Xenopus tropicalis: one gene and its partners. The protein of the gene in region 1 purifies or fractionates together with the protein of each later gene. This does not show direct contact. Links are inferred from orthologs where the notes say so. Each region holds a gene or a part of one and is shown on either strand. Other genes may lie near its edges.

The links.
Region 2: the proteins of itgb1 (region 1) and itga9 purify together in Homo sapiens (affinity purification with mass spectrometry; 3 studies listed by BioGRID and IntAct, counting the BioPlex papers as one, with this or other methods). This does not show direct contact. The link is inferred for Xenopus tropicalis from reciprocal best matches to the Homo sapiens genes ITGB1 and ITGA9.
Region 3: the proteins of itgb1 (region 1) and cd63 purify together in Homo sapiens (affinity purification with western blotting; 3 studies listed by BioGRID and IntAct, with this or other methods). This does not show direct contact. The link is inferred for Xenopus tropicalis from reciprocal best matches to the Homo sapiens genes ITGB1 and CD63.

Annotation. Positions count from the first base shown.
Region 1 is NC_030682.2:22,870,474-22,874,899, forward strand, and holds the start of itgb1 (integrin beta-1 precursor), read left to right. Parts: upstream 1-1,574; 5' UTR 1,575-1,676; intron 1,677-4,426.
Region 2 is NC_030682.2:61,158,654-61,162,305, forward strand, and holds part of itga9 (integrin alpha-9), read right to left. Parts: intron 2,613-3,652; coding exon 2,544-2,612; intron 1,076-2,543; coding exon 938-1,075; intron 1-937. UniProt on the Homo sapiens protein: Integrin alpha-9/beta-1 (ITGA9:ITGB1) is a receptor for VCAM1, cytotactin and osteopontin. It recognizes the sequence A-E-I-D-G-I-E-L in cytotactin. ITGA9:ITGB1 may play a crucial role in SVEP1/polydom-mediated myoblast cell adhesion.
Region 3 is NC_030678.2:137,133,987-137,137,638, forward strand, and holds part of cd63 (CD63 antigen), read right to left. Parts: intron 1,827-3,652; coding exon 1,638-1,826; intron 864-1,637; coding exon 789-863; intron 388-788; coding exon 292-387; intron 209-291; coding exon 68-208; intron 1-67. UniProt on the Homo sapiens protein: Functions as a cell surface receptor for TIMP1 and plays a role in the activation of cellular signaling cascades. Plays a role in the activation of ITGB1 and integrin signaling, leading to the activation of AKT, FAK/PTK2 and MAP kinases.

The DNA of each region.
Region 1 (4,426 bases):
TGTGTGTGCCATACTCTGCCTGTCCTACCCTGCCTATGTGTGCCATACTCTGACTTCTCTATGCTGCCTCTGTGTACCATACTCTGCCTGCCCTACCCTGACTGTGTGTGCCATACTCTGCCTGCCCTACCCTGACTGTGTGTGCCATACCCTCCCTGACCTATGCTGCCTGTGTGTGCCATACTCTACCTGCCCTATGCTGGCTGTATGTGCCATACTCTGCCTACAGTACCTATGTCTGAGGTGTGAAGAAGTGAACAATGGGAGTGATTACAGCCTGAGCCTGAGGTGTGAACACTGCAGGGGGTGAACCATGCAGGTATTAAAAGGTGTGAAAAACACAGGGGATTAAATTTTTAAACAATACAGAGGGATTACAGCCTGAATCTGAGGTGAGAACCATGCAGGGGGCCAGTTAATCTCAGTACTGATACCATTTAATGCTTACTCAAAGGTAAACCATCAAAGCAGCCAGACAGATGGGGGCCACACAGAGGGGGGTCGCGGGCCGCCAGTTGGACAGCACTGCCATAGACCATGGATCCCCAACCTTTTATACCTGTGAGCCACATTCAAGTGGAAAAAGTGTTGGGGAGCAACACAAGCATGGAAATGGTCCCTGGGGGTGCCAATAAGAGCTATAATTGGCTACTTAATAGCCCCTATGTGGACTGGCAGCCTACAGAAGGCTCTGTTTGGCATTATACTGGGTTTTTATGCAACCAAAACTTGCCTCCTTACCAGAAACTCAAAAATAAGCAGCTGCTTTGAAGCCACTGGGAGCAACATCCAAGGGGTTGGGGAGCAACATGTTGCTAAAGAGCCACTGGTTGGGAACCGCTGGCATAGACAGTCACTACTTATTGGCCCGGTGGGGGTGCTACTTTGGCCTTTGCGTACCTGAAATGCCAGGGCCTGATGCTGGGGTACCATTAGAATACGGCGGCACACAGATATTATTGCCACACTTGCCTGACTGGTAAAAATTAGGCTTCATGTCAATGTTATAAATAGATATAAATAAAAATATTGGAAGGCTGGTATTTTTTTCCAGAAAAGGTGGCAACCCTTCAGGCAGATGAACCCTACCCTGGGGATTGCTCGCCTGTGGCCTGAAGAATGAAACAAGAATCAGTAGAAGCGCCCAACAACATACAAACTGCTTTCAGCTACTGACTGCCATCAAACCATGTGGTACCAATAAACTGTACTGTACTACAAGCAAAGCTTATCCCCTGGAGTGTATGCCTATTGAGCTGTGGTACTGGTGCCAAGCTGTGCCAGATATCGGGAAGCGATCCCAGTGCTACTAATCAGACAGTATGGGGCAATAGCCGCCACTACACAGTGGCCATGTGGGAGCCCCTGCCCCCATCCCCCCCCATTCCCACGTAGCCAGTCCCGCCCTCCCACATCCTGACGTCACCGGGCTGGAATGCGCTTCCTGCGGCGCTTCTTGCTCTGGCTGTGCGCGTCCGTGTGAGTGCGGGGGCGCGCTTGTGGTGCGTCAGCGCAGGCTGGGTGCTACTCGGGAGGGGACCGTTACTGAGAGCGGACACTTCATTCAGCGCGCAGACCTGCCTGGGCTCGGAGGCCGCAATCTGAGGCAGCGCTTAGTCTGTGCGATTCAGCCCGGCAGGGCGCCGCTCCTGGGATCCAAGGGCCCCACGCCAAAGGTGAGCCGCCGCTCTGTGTTACCTGCATTCTGGCCCCAGTGTCCGCTCACTTGGTACAGTCTGTGCTTAGGGCATTGCTGCTCCGTATCTGCCTCCCTGTGGGGAATCCATATGGCTTAGAGAAGCCGGGACGTGTAGCAGCTACTTTGCACGCCGGGAGTTGTATTGTTTGTCAGTGATAGGTACAGGGGGGCAGACTTGGGGCTCTACAGCTGCTGGGAACTACTGCATTCACTCGCAGGGGATTGTGGGACTTGTAGTACATGCCACCTGGAGTTTTTCCATTGTGGAGTTTGTGCTTCAGTAGGTAGAGGGTTAATAGAGACTGGGGGAGGGGGTGACCTTGCTTAGGGGCAGCTTCCTATAAACTTTCCTTGTTGTGGGATCCCACCCTTCCAGGGCTGCAGCGCTCTCCCTCCTTAGTTACTGCGCTAATTACATGATCATGTGTGTAGGGGGCTCTGTGTAAGTGAATTGGGTGTCTGGCTGGGACTGTATGTACCCCCCCCCCCATAGAGACAGCAGGGAGTTTCCCTGCAGGAATGTGCACAGAGGGAGGCGGCAGAGGACATCCTGGGAGGGGTGAAGGGGGGGCAGTCTCCTTCTTTCTCTCTTTATTTTTAACAGTAGATCATTACCATAACCATAGATATTATTAACCAGGGCTCAGCCGGCCCACGCTGTCCCCTTTCCCTGTGTGTTCAGTAGGGCGCAGGGTAGTTGTGCCACGGTCACTATAAGTACAATATAGCACTGCTTCATTTGGCTGCTGGCTCCTAACAGAGTCTCCTAAGAGAAGGCGGCCCCCAGGCACGAATAATGGTTTGGCTGACACTGAGGGCACTTATATTGAGTTATGAGTGGGTGCTTGTATGTGGCTTTTTTTATTGAAGCCCGAGCAGCGTTTTAGCCCAGAGGCTTCCGAGGGTGGATGAGTCCCAAAACGTATTCTTGGCAGGGCCGGGTTCAAGGGTGGGTAACAGAGCCTAAATCTGTGCTGGGAACCTTATGAGATTAATGGTGAGGTAATCAGTATGACAAAGGAACTAAAATGTTCTGAAAGCTTGCTGTGATTATCTTAGTTAGCCAATAAAGGTATCGCCTTTATACCACTTTTATTTCTAAAGGGTTACCCTTATAAACATTTTGACTGGCTAACACAGTATATCACCTTTTCCTGCATGGTGAAGATTCAAATATAAATTCATAAAAGAGCTTTTATGAAACTCAGTGTCCCACTTTTCCTATGATTATCTGCCACCCCGGGCAGGCAGGGCCCTTTGTGCAGAGGATCAGGGTAGTCTGGATTATATAGAGGAGCAGCCACATTCTCTTTACAGATACTACACTTCAATTTAGCTGAAAGGACAACAATTACCATTTCCGCCCAGTAGGAGTGTAAAGCCACACTGGGGCTTATTGGCTTTGAGCAGCTGTGCACACAAGGTGCAAATCAGCACTCCCTGTGCCACCAGCACCTTATTTGCACCTTGATGTGACCTGCACATTGTTCATAGGTCCCAAGTGACTCCGTAGTTGTATCTAGGCACTGAGGGTCATTTATAAAATTTGCACAGTGCAGAATTATTCACACAGTGAACGTATTTACTCTACCTGTATTTATATTTATAAAGCTGGACAAGACTGGTGCGTTTAATGGGCAAATATAATTGCGAAATTTTTATTCACAGTGCAAATGCCCTTCAAGTTTTTTAAATATGGCATATTCGTAAATTGCGAATGTTTATGCGCGCAGTCTGTGTCCGCGCTATATTTATTCATAATAAATGGGCACAGAGGGCAAATCGCAGTCTCATTTGCGAATTTTTGTGCGCAATTCACATTTCACTGCGATTTGCATATATCTAGAAGGCATTTCCCTTGTGAGTAGAGGAGGCCATACCGGGCAGATTTTATCTGCCAGTGTGTGGGCACGAACAATGGGTCTGCCCGACCGAGATTTGGCCAATTTCAGGCCAGATGTTGACTGGGCAGGTTTGATTTTTCCGTCGTATCGGGAACCACATTGGCTCGTTGATGTGGCCCCTGTTTTAATTTGAATTCGCCTGATATTGCTCACCCATAGGTGAGTGTATTTGGAGAAGATACGTTTGATTGGTGACCTCGCCATAGAGTGGATCTTACCGTGTATGGCCAGCTTAAAAGTGGTAAAGTGACCCCCCCCTAGACCCTGTCTAAGCTCTAATATGAGCTGTGCTGGTTAACCCAAGATCAAACCTGTATACATCTAATCAAGATGGTGCTACTGAGAATATTCCCTAATATAGGTTTGTGTCAGAGAAAGAGATTTGTCACAGTGATTTATAAGTTAATTATCTGGAATTGTCTCCCCATCTGTGGGCAGCATGTTTTGTTAGGGTTATCAACTACAAATACATACGTTTTTTTCTTTTAGCATAGTGCTATTCTAAGGTAATTTGCAGTTGGTCTTGCATTGGTCTCTGTTTTTTATTTTCGTTCAGCAGATCTTCAGTGTTGAATTTTAGCATCTACCTGGTTGCCAGGGTCCAATTTAAACTAGAAACCAGGCAGTGGTTTGAAAGAGAGAGGGGATTATAGGAGGGCCTTAATAGAAAGATAAGTAATAAAACAATAACAAACTATTGCTCTGTGGGGCTACAGTTTAATTTTTACCTGCTGGGGTCAGCGACCCCCATTTGAAAGCTGGAAAGAGTCAGAAGTGGAAAGCAAATAATTCAAAAACTATAAAAATAAAAAAATCCAGTTGT
Region 2 (3,652 bases), about 38 Mb from region 1:
TAATTGGTGGAGACCGCGCAAGAGTAATCAAATAAAAAAAAGGTTAAATTGTGGGAGCACAGATTTGCTGAAGGAAAAATCCCTACAATGAAATGTTTGGGGTCAGTCATCAATAAGCAGCAGGAGTATTATACTAACAAACTTCAGCCAATCTAATATAATACATTTTTTTGTCAAGTCCCACAAACGATCAGAACAATACAAAAGTGTCCATTTGGCATCAGATACCTATGTGAATATATCTAAGAATTTGATCTTTTTAAAAGTTTCTGCCTCCCAAATTGAGGCCTTGGTTTTGTTTCTGGTTTTGGCTCCTGTTTCAGCTGCTTGTGGCTTTGCTTACCTCAGCGTGGTTAACCCTGTATTTTAGTTTAGTGTATTCTAGAGATTTGGTTTCAGCTCAAATTGAATGTCCAGTCTTTGTTCACAGCCCTCTTAATGGTACAACCTTTGGTCAGGGCCCCCCTTACCAAAAGAGATGGCTACATATATATAGGAAATATCAGTCATTCAGTCTTAGTTAAAAGAATATGAAGTACAGCACAAATCCCACCTCAATTGACCTTCAAGCTTGGCTTTCAGGTGTATCTATGACAGCTAATGACAATTTTCATTGATTCGTATCCCAAATGGCCTTAAGGCTGAGCCATTAAGTTTGGGAACCACTGTCCTGAAGTAAAAATCTCTACAATATGAAGACTGTATTGTCTATTAGTTCAAGAGAACAAGTATGCAAACCCATAAAGAATGCAGCACACTGTTTAATTGTTTTTCTTTATATGCCTGTACACCATGGGAAATGTACACATCCAAACAATCTGGCTATAATTGCACACATCTCAAGAACTATGAACACACCCCACAAAATACTGTATATATGTATATTAAAATATAAAGAATAAAATCAATATTTTTTAATGTTCACACAAATACTTACATTTCCTCTGTTGATATACACTGTGACTTGTCCCTCATCCCTCACCTCTGAGAACATGGGAGCACCAACTAATAGGTCTGAGAGGCCATCAGAGTTCAGATCAACTGCACATAAGGAGGAGCCAAAGTAAGAGCCCACCTGCAACCAAGCCGAGTCACAACAAAGCATTCAGTATTTTTCTCCAGAATAAAGATTCATTTTATGGTAACAAATGCAATGTATGCAAATATATATTAATTTTAACTTTGACACTTTCTGTGAGCATCAATATTATACTTAGGAGTGGGCTTAATGTTAACATTTTAAAGAGAAGCATATAGTCCACATTTATAAACATTCACTAAAAAGCAATGTTAATTTGTGCACAAAACACAAATGGATCCTGTAACATTCCTGTAAATAATGATCCTGTAACATTTATTGGATAAGGATCCCAAGAAGAAGAATTCCAGCTTAACCTCTGCCATGGGGTGGTGATGTGCATGATGCTATTGCAGGCAATGTTTTCAAACACACTGCACATTTACCTCAACAGAAATTGGATGCAACTGTGCTAAAAAGCTTCAGTATTCAGATGTTATGATTTCTGGTATCGAAATGCCACCTGGGCCTGTTTCCCACGAGTTTGCTGTGTCAGTTGATGCAGGCTACAGTGGGGATAGCATTAGGGTTCCCCTGCATCAATAGGCACACTGTGTTCAATTCACTGGAAGAGGTGGGGTGCGGGAAGTGGCACCAAGCACAACAATGCTGAATTGCAGGGAGTGGCTTTGGACGTAACAATAAATAATGAATTAAATTTTTTTTGTGCAATGACTATGGCAACTGCAGTAGATTTGTCCATTGCAAGGTGCTTTAAAGGTGCAAGGACATGTAAACCCCCCACAAAATGCGTAGGTATTAATAGATGAATTCACAAGACAGGTTACCCTTTTTATTTTTTTATTATAAATAAATTTAGCATCTTACATCAGCATTAACTTTTACTATTTTGTAAGCATTCTGGTTAGACTTTGTTCCAGACTTACTCATTACCTTGAACTTAACAATCAGCTGTTTGTTTTTCTACAACATTATTAGACATAGTTTGTAGTGAATGTTTATCTATTATCTAAGACTGGCAAATAAAACCATTGTCTGCAGTGAATGCATAAAGCTTTTACAAGGCCAATTTGAATCTTTGATTCATGTTTAAACAATATACATATAAAATGTGAGAGTTTACCTCTGCATGTGCCTGCACCAGGGCCAACACAATGGTTCCGGGTGCAGGCAAAGAAGAAAGCTAATGTCAGTGTTGGGGCTGATTCTTGGCATGTGCTTTTCCGCAGGCCAAAATCAGCCCCCATGTGGCATTACCATTATGCACAGCTTATCATCTCCCTGTGAACAAATTATCCTTTTGATAGGGGGAGAAAGTGGGGGTTGAGTGAGTGCAGTGATAGACAAAATCCTCTTGAACTCCCTTCATTGTACTCAATTTTAGTAAAGGTTTGTGCTGTCGCTTAAACAGATCTGGAACAGGCCTTCTGAACCCTGAAATAGCATGCGCAAACTGTTTTGCAGGCACAACAATTGTAGAAAAGTAAAACATGGGAAGGCTAACCTTTTTTCCAGAAGCTTGAAAAATCTTAACAAGCGATACAGACCTCTTATCAGTTCTGAAGATAAACACCTAAAAGGAAAAAATATGTTTATTATAAATGTGGAAAGGTTTAGTGTTTCTATTCCAGACTGCTTTTAGATCCCTATACATACACCAACTGCCTGCACATTACCAAGATCTTATATGAAGACAAAGGCAGTGTAAATGTGGCTAATATATTAGAATACTTTTTATTTTCTTTAAAAGAAATATCGATTGGGTTATTGTTTATATACTGCAGCAGTACACTATAGCTCAATCAACCGTTCCCTTAGGAATTATAATAATATCTAAGAAATTACACAGCTTACAAATGGGTTTAGTAAAACATTCAGAGTTGTAATATTGGGTAATCAATATTACTGTAGACAAATCTGCATTACATACACAATTACTCTTGCATGTATTTGCAAACAACTATCGACAGTGATAGAGTACATCAGGTTAAGAATTGAATATAAAATTGCTTTGTCTGCCAAAGTACATGTACTTCACTAGATTAATATATTAATATTTCAGACGCAACAAGGGTACAAAACAATTGTAACAACAGGACAAGTAAGCCAAATGTATTGTTAGAATGTAGTAATTAATTTGTGTGACAGTTACATTTCTCCAAGCACACACGCAACCGAAAGAAAATACATTGTGATGAACTGGCAAAAGTATCTTCTTAGATAAATATTACTGACAGTGTTGATGTAAGTACTGTTTTTACAATATTGAGTAGTGCCAGTTCTATTTCTGTGGAGATATTTATAAAAATAACTCAGCTGAGGTAAAAAAATTGGAATATAATATATAACGCACAATACAGAGAAAAGATTTTTCAGGTACATAGACTAAAATAAACTGTGAACAACAGCCTCATTCCAAAAGCTAAAGCTCCTAAATATCCAAGGATATTAGCTCCTTTCATAATATGGAACAGCTGTGCTGCAGTCCTATGTCATTTTAGGCAGGGTCCCCAATTTACCTCCATTAACATTCTGTGTTTTTTCTGATTTGTCCTATATTTTGGGCTGCTTTATATAAAGCACACACCACACTATGCATACCACAGTGTGCAG
Region 3 (3,652 bases), on another chromosome or scaffold:
ATTATGAACTTGAGCATGGAAAAAGTTATCTCCATGCTCATTGCTTTTACAGTAATCTGCTACTTACCTCACTATTTATATTGGCAATTGGACCTTTTCCACAGCCTGCAGTGATGTTCTTACAGCAGGAATCAGGCACAGTGTTTGTACCAGTGAAGGGAGCATATTGTCTCCAATCAGTTGAGTTGATGGCACCACAGCACTGAAACTGCAATAGCAAACAGACATGTTATGTATCGACATGAAAAGACTGTGCCGATCCCCAACTCTTTATACAAGCAGAATACTTACTTCTTTCTGCAAGAGGTCAATGCTATCCGCTATATCCTTGGTGTCATTATAATGGACCATACCATTTTTAAAGGAGTCCTCAAATGCAGTGCGCAGCTGAAGTACAAACAAGAACAGAGAAAGTTATGGCAGAAAAAACTATTGGTTCACACATCTTTAATGCCCACTTTGAGAAGACTGTACAGAGAAAGGTAGGTCTTGAGGAGTACTAGATTCCCTGTTTAATGTGTTTTGCACTGGCACACAAGTGCACGCCATAAAGGCATAGAGTGAACATGGCTTGCACTGTAAGTCTAATACAGTAATAAATAGGTCTGGAATGTTCTATTAGCCCACTGGCAAGTAAAACATACAGCTGATCAATAAAAATTCTTAAACTTCTTTCACACGCCAAGAAAGTTAGCATAAACAGACATATAGGGCCCAAAGCAAAATTAAGCCAGTTATAGAGTGGATTCATTCAGCGGCAGGAGAAGGAAGAAAGGAACCAGAATTACCTTGTCCTTGTAAACATAGGCAGCAATAGCAGCAGCAATCTCAACCAGGAAGATCAGCACCAGCACAACGGCAAACTGCAATGATAAGAAAAAGCAATAAGTAATTTTTTCCCCCCACATACACTGAAGCAGAATTTCTATTCCTTCCTGCATGTATATTTTGGAGTCATCAATTATCTTCACTTCCTATCTAGATATGTATCAAGCATGGACTTGTTTTGTCAAAAGCAGGTATTTTACACTTTTATGTGTATGCTTCAGAAGTACTAGCACAGTTCTAGAAGCTGCAGTGTCAGTCATTTAAGCTGAAATTGGGCTATAGGGCACAAATATACATAGCAGATAACCTGTGTAGAATATAATGGATTTGGGGTTAGTGGCATCCAGGAGGTGTGCCTACTACTAGAAGAGAAACACAGGGCTTAAAACACCACTGCCGGCCTATTTCTGCTGGTAAATACTACTCATTGAGAAGTGGAGTTTAACCATCTGTACTCAAGAATGCCTTAGAGGTCCATCTGTCACAGCTCCTTGTTCTTTGTATGTGGCCCTTTCCATTCAGTAACATAAGCAGTGGCCTCAAGTGACAATTATGCCTCTTTACAGAACCATAGGCTACTGCCACGTGGGTGATTCTTGGCACAGAAGCCAAGAAGCTGTCTCAATGCCCCTAAACGCTTCTCTATGTGCCTGTTCTAGGAGCCATTGCATCAGCCCTGTTGCAGACAAACACCCATGTGTAGCAGTAGCCACAGAGTGAAAACCCCTCATATAAAATAGGGCATTTGTTGCCAGGAAATTGTAATAAAGCACCTATAAATTGAGAAAAAAGTTAAAACCATTTCTTACCGTTGTCACCATGCAGTAGTTCTCTTTTAGTGCTCCACAGCAGCCAAAGAAGGCAATTAAAAAGATGACAACACCCACTACGATGATGACTATGGGAGCTCCAGAGGAGGTGGCATTCTTCATGATAAGAGTGTGGTTAAGCTGGATTTGCACGTATATCCCGATCGCAATGAGAGCAATGCCACACACCTAAAAAACAAACCAATCGGAAGATGAGTATCTGCACAACACGTAAATGTACAGGCCGTGCTAATGTGGCCCTCTTGGATGCGTATAACTGCAACTGAGCAGAACAATTTAATAACGGCCATTTGTAATAACGGCACAAAAGGGCAGAGGTTGTTGTGCCGTTTCGTTCCTACTGGGCTCATTATGCAGGGAAAACAAAGCAGCTTTTGTAGCACTTTCCTCTCAAACTGACAGAGCAAGAAAAACAAGTAATGCCAGTGCTGCCAAACCCTTCATGCAAACTCTTCAATTAGCCATTTTGTATTTAACCGTATAAATAGTATTCTAAAGGTTTGAATGAGAGGAGCATGGGATGCTGGATCGCCTTTTAGTGCTGCTTTCACTATAGAAAACTGAACACACACAATACAATAGGTGCAGCAATGTCTCTGACATCATTTATTTAAGTCATAAAGACTTACCTTTAATCAGAGTGTAGGTGTGGGGATGTGGGTGTGAGGGTGTTGCCATACTGAAAAATTACTCCACCCCCTAGGGAGCCAGACTCCCTAATGCTGACTAACTGAGCATTCACTACTAGGTAAAGAAAGTGGTCAGAACCCCCCTAGACGGGGAAGTGACCATACCAGTGAATCTCTTGTGCAAGAACAGAAAGTGACTGAAAACAATGTATGTTCTCTAGCAAACTGACCTAATGCAACTTGCACCATTGCTGTGGGGAGTTTCTTGCGCAACATTTGCTTCCTCATTTTTAGAGGAGAATCACATGAAAGAGAAACAGTGAGCTGGTGTCATGATGTTATTCTCACTGAGACCATAAAGGCCCAGGCTCACAGGGAGATTAGTAGCCTGCAACAAATCTGCACTACCTCGGGCAACTAATCCCCCTGAAATGCTTTCCCACCGCTGATCATGTAAATCTCCAGTGGGAAAACATACGCATTACCTGAAGTTTCCTTGTGGGGACTTTGTTAGTCACTGGTGGTAAGTCACCGATGTTTTCCAATAACCAGTAGAAAAGGATTTGGGAGAGACTAGTCGCCCACGGTAGTGCAGATTTATTGCCATGGCCAAGCCTTGAGAGGGGTAATAATAGGTGCTTTGGTGGCACTCATGGATTACTGATGAGTGTCTGGGCTGCATTTCTGGTAAGATAAACTGCCTCAGGGCAGGAAAGTCATCTTCCTTTTTAAAAGATCTCCAGACTTCTGAAATAATGCTGCAAGCCAGCTGATTAAAGCTGAGAATTGACTCAAAAGACCCAAAGAACAGAAATAAAGAAATAATCACCGCTTTCAACTACAATTACACATAACTTTAAAAGGAGGACTACACCCCCCACAGCTATAAAAGCCCCCTTAACTGACCTGCCTTGACCACCCCCCTCACCTCTCCCTTATCGCATACTCTAAAGCTGGCCATACACGTGGCGATCTCACGATGTTTCGTACGACCGTCGGTCGCACGAAACATCGTCAGATCCGCCACACACCATTCAGGGCTGAATCGGCAGGTAAGGAGGTAGAAACAATAGGATTTCTACCTCCTTCTGCCGATTCAGCTCTGAAGGGAGAATTTTGGTCAGGCGCCTTCTATGGCGCCCGATCAAAATTTTCTAACTTGCCCGATCGGCGAGCCGACCGATTTCAGCAGCTTCCTGCGATATCGGTCGGCTCGCTGACATGCCATACACGCACCGATTATCGTACGAAACGAGGTTTCGTACGATAATATCGGTGCGTGTATGGCCACCTTAACTTAGGAAATCAGCTTCAAGTGCACATGCTCAAGCAGGGTCCATGTCGGCGGTGACACACAAAGCTTCT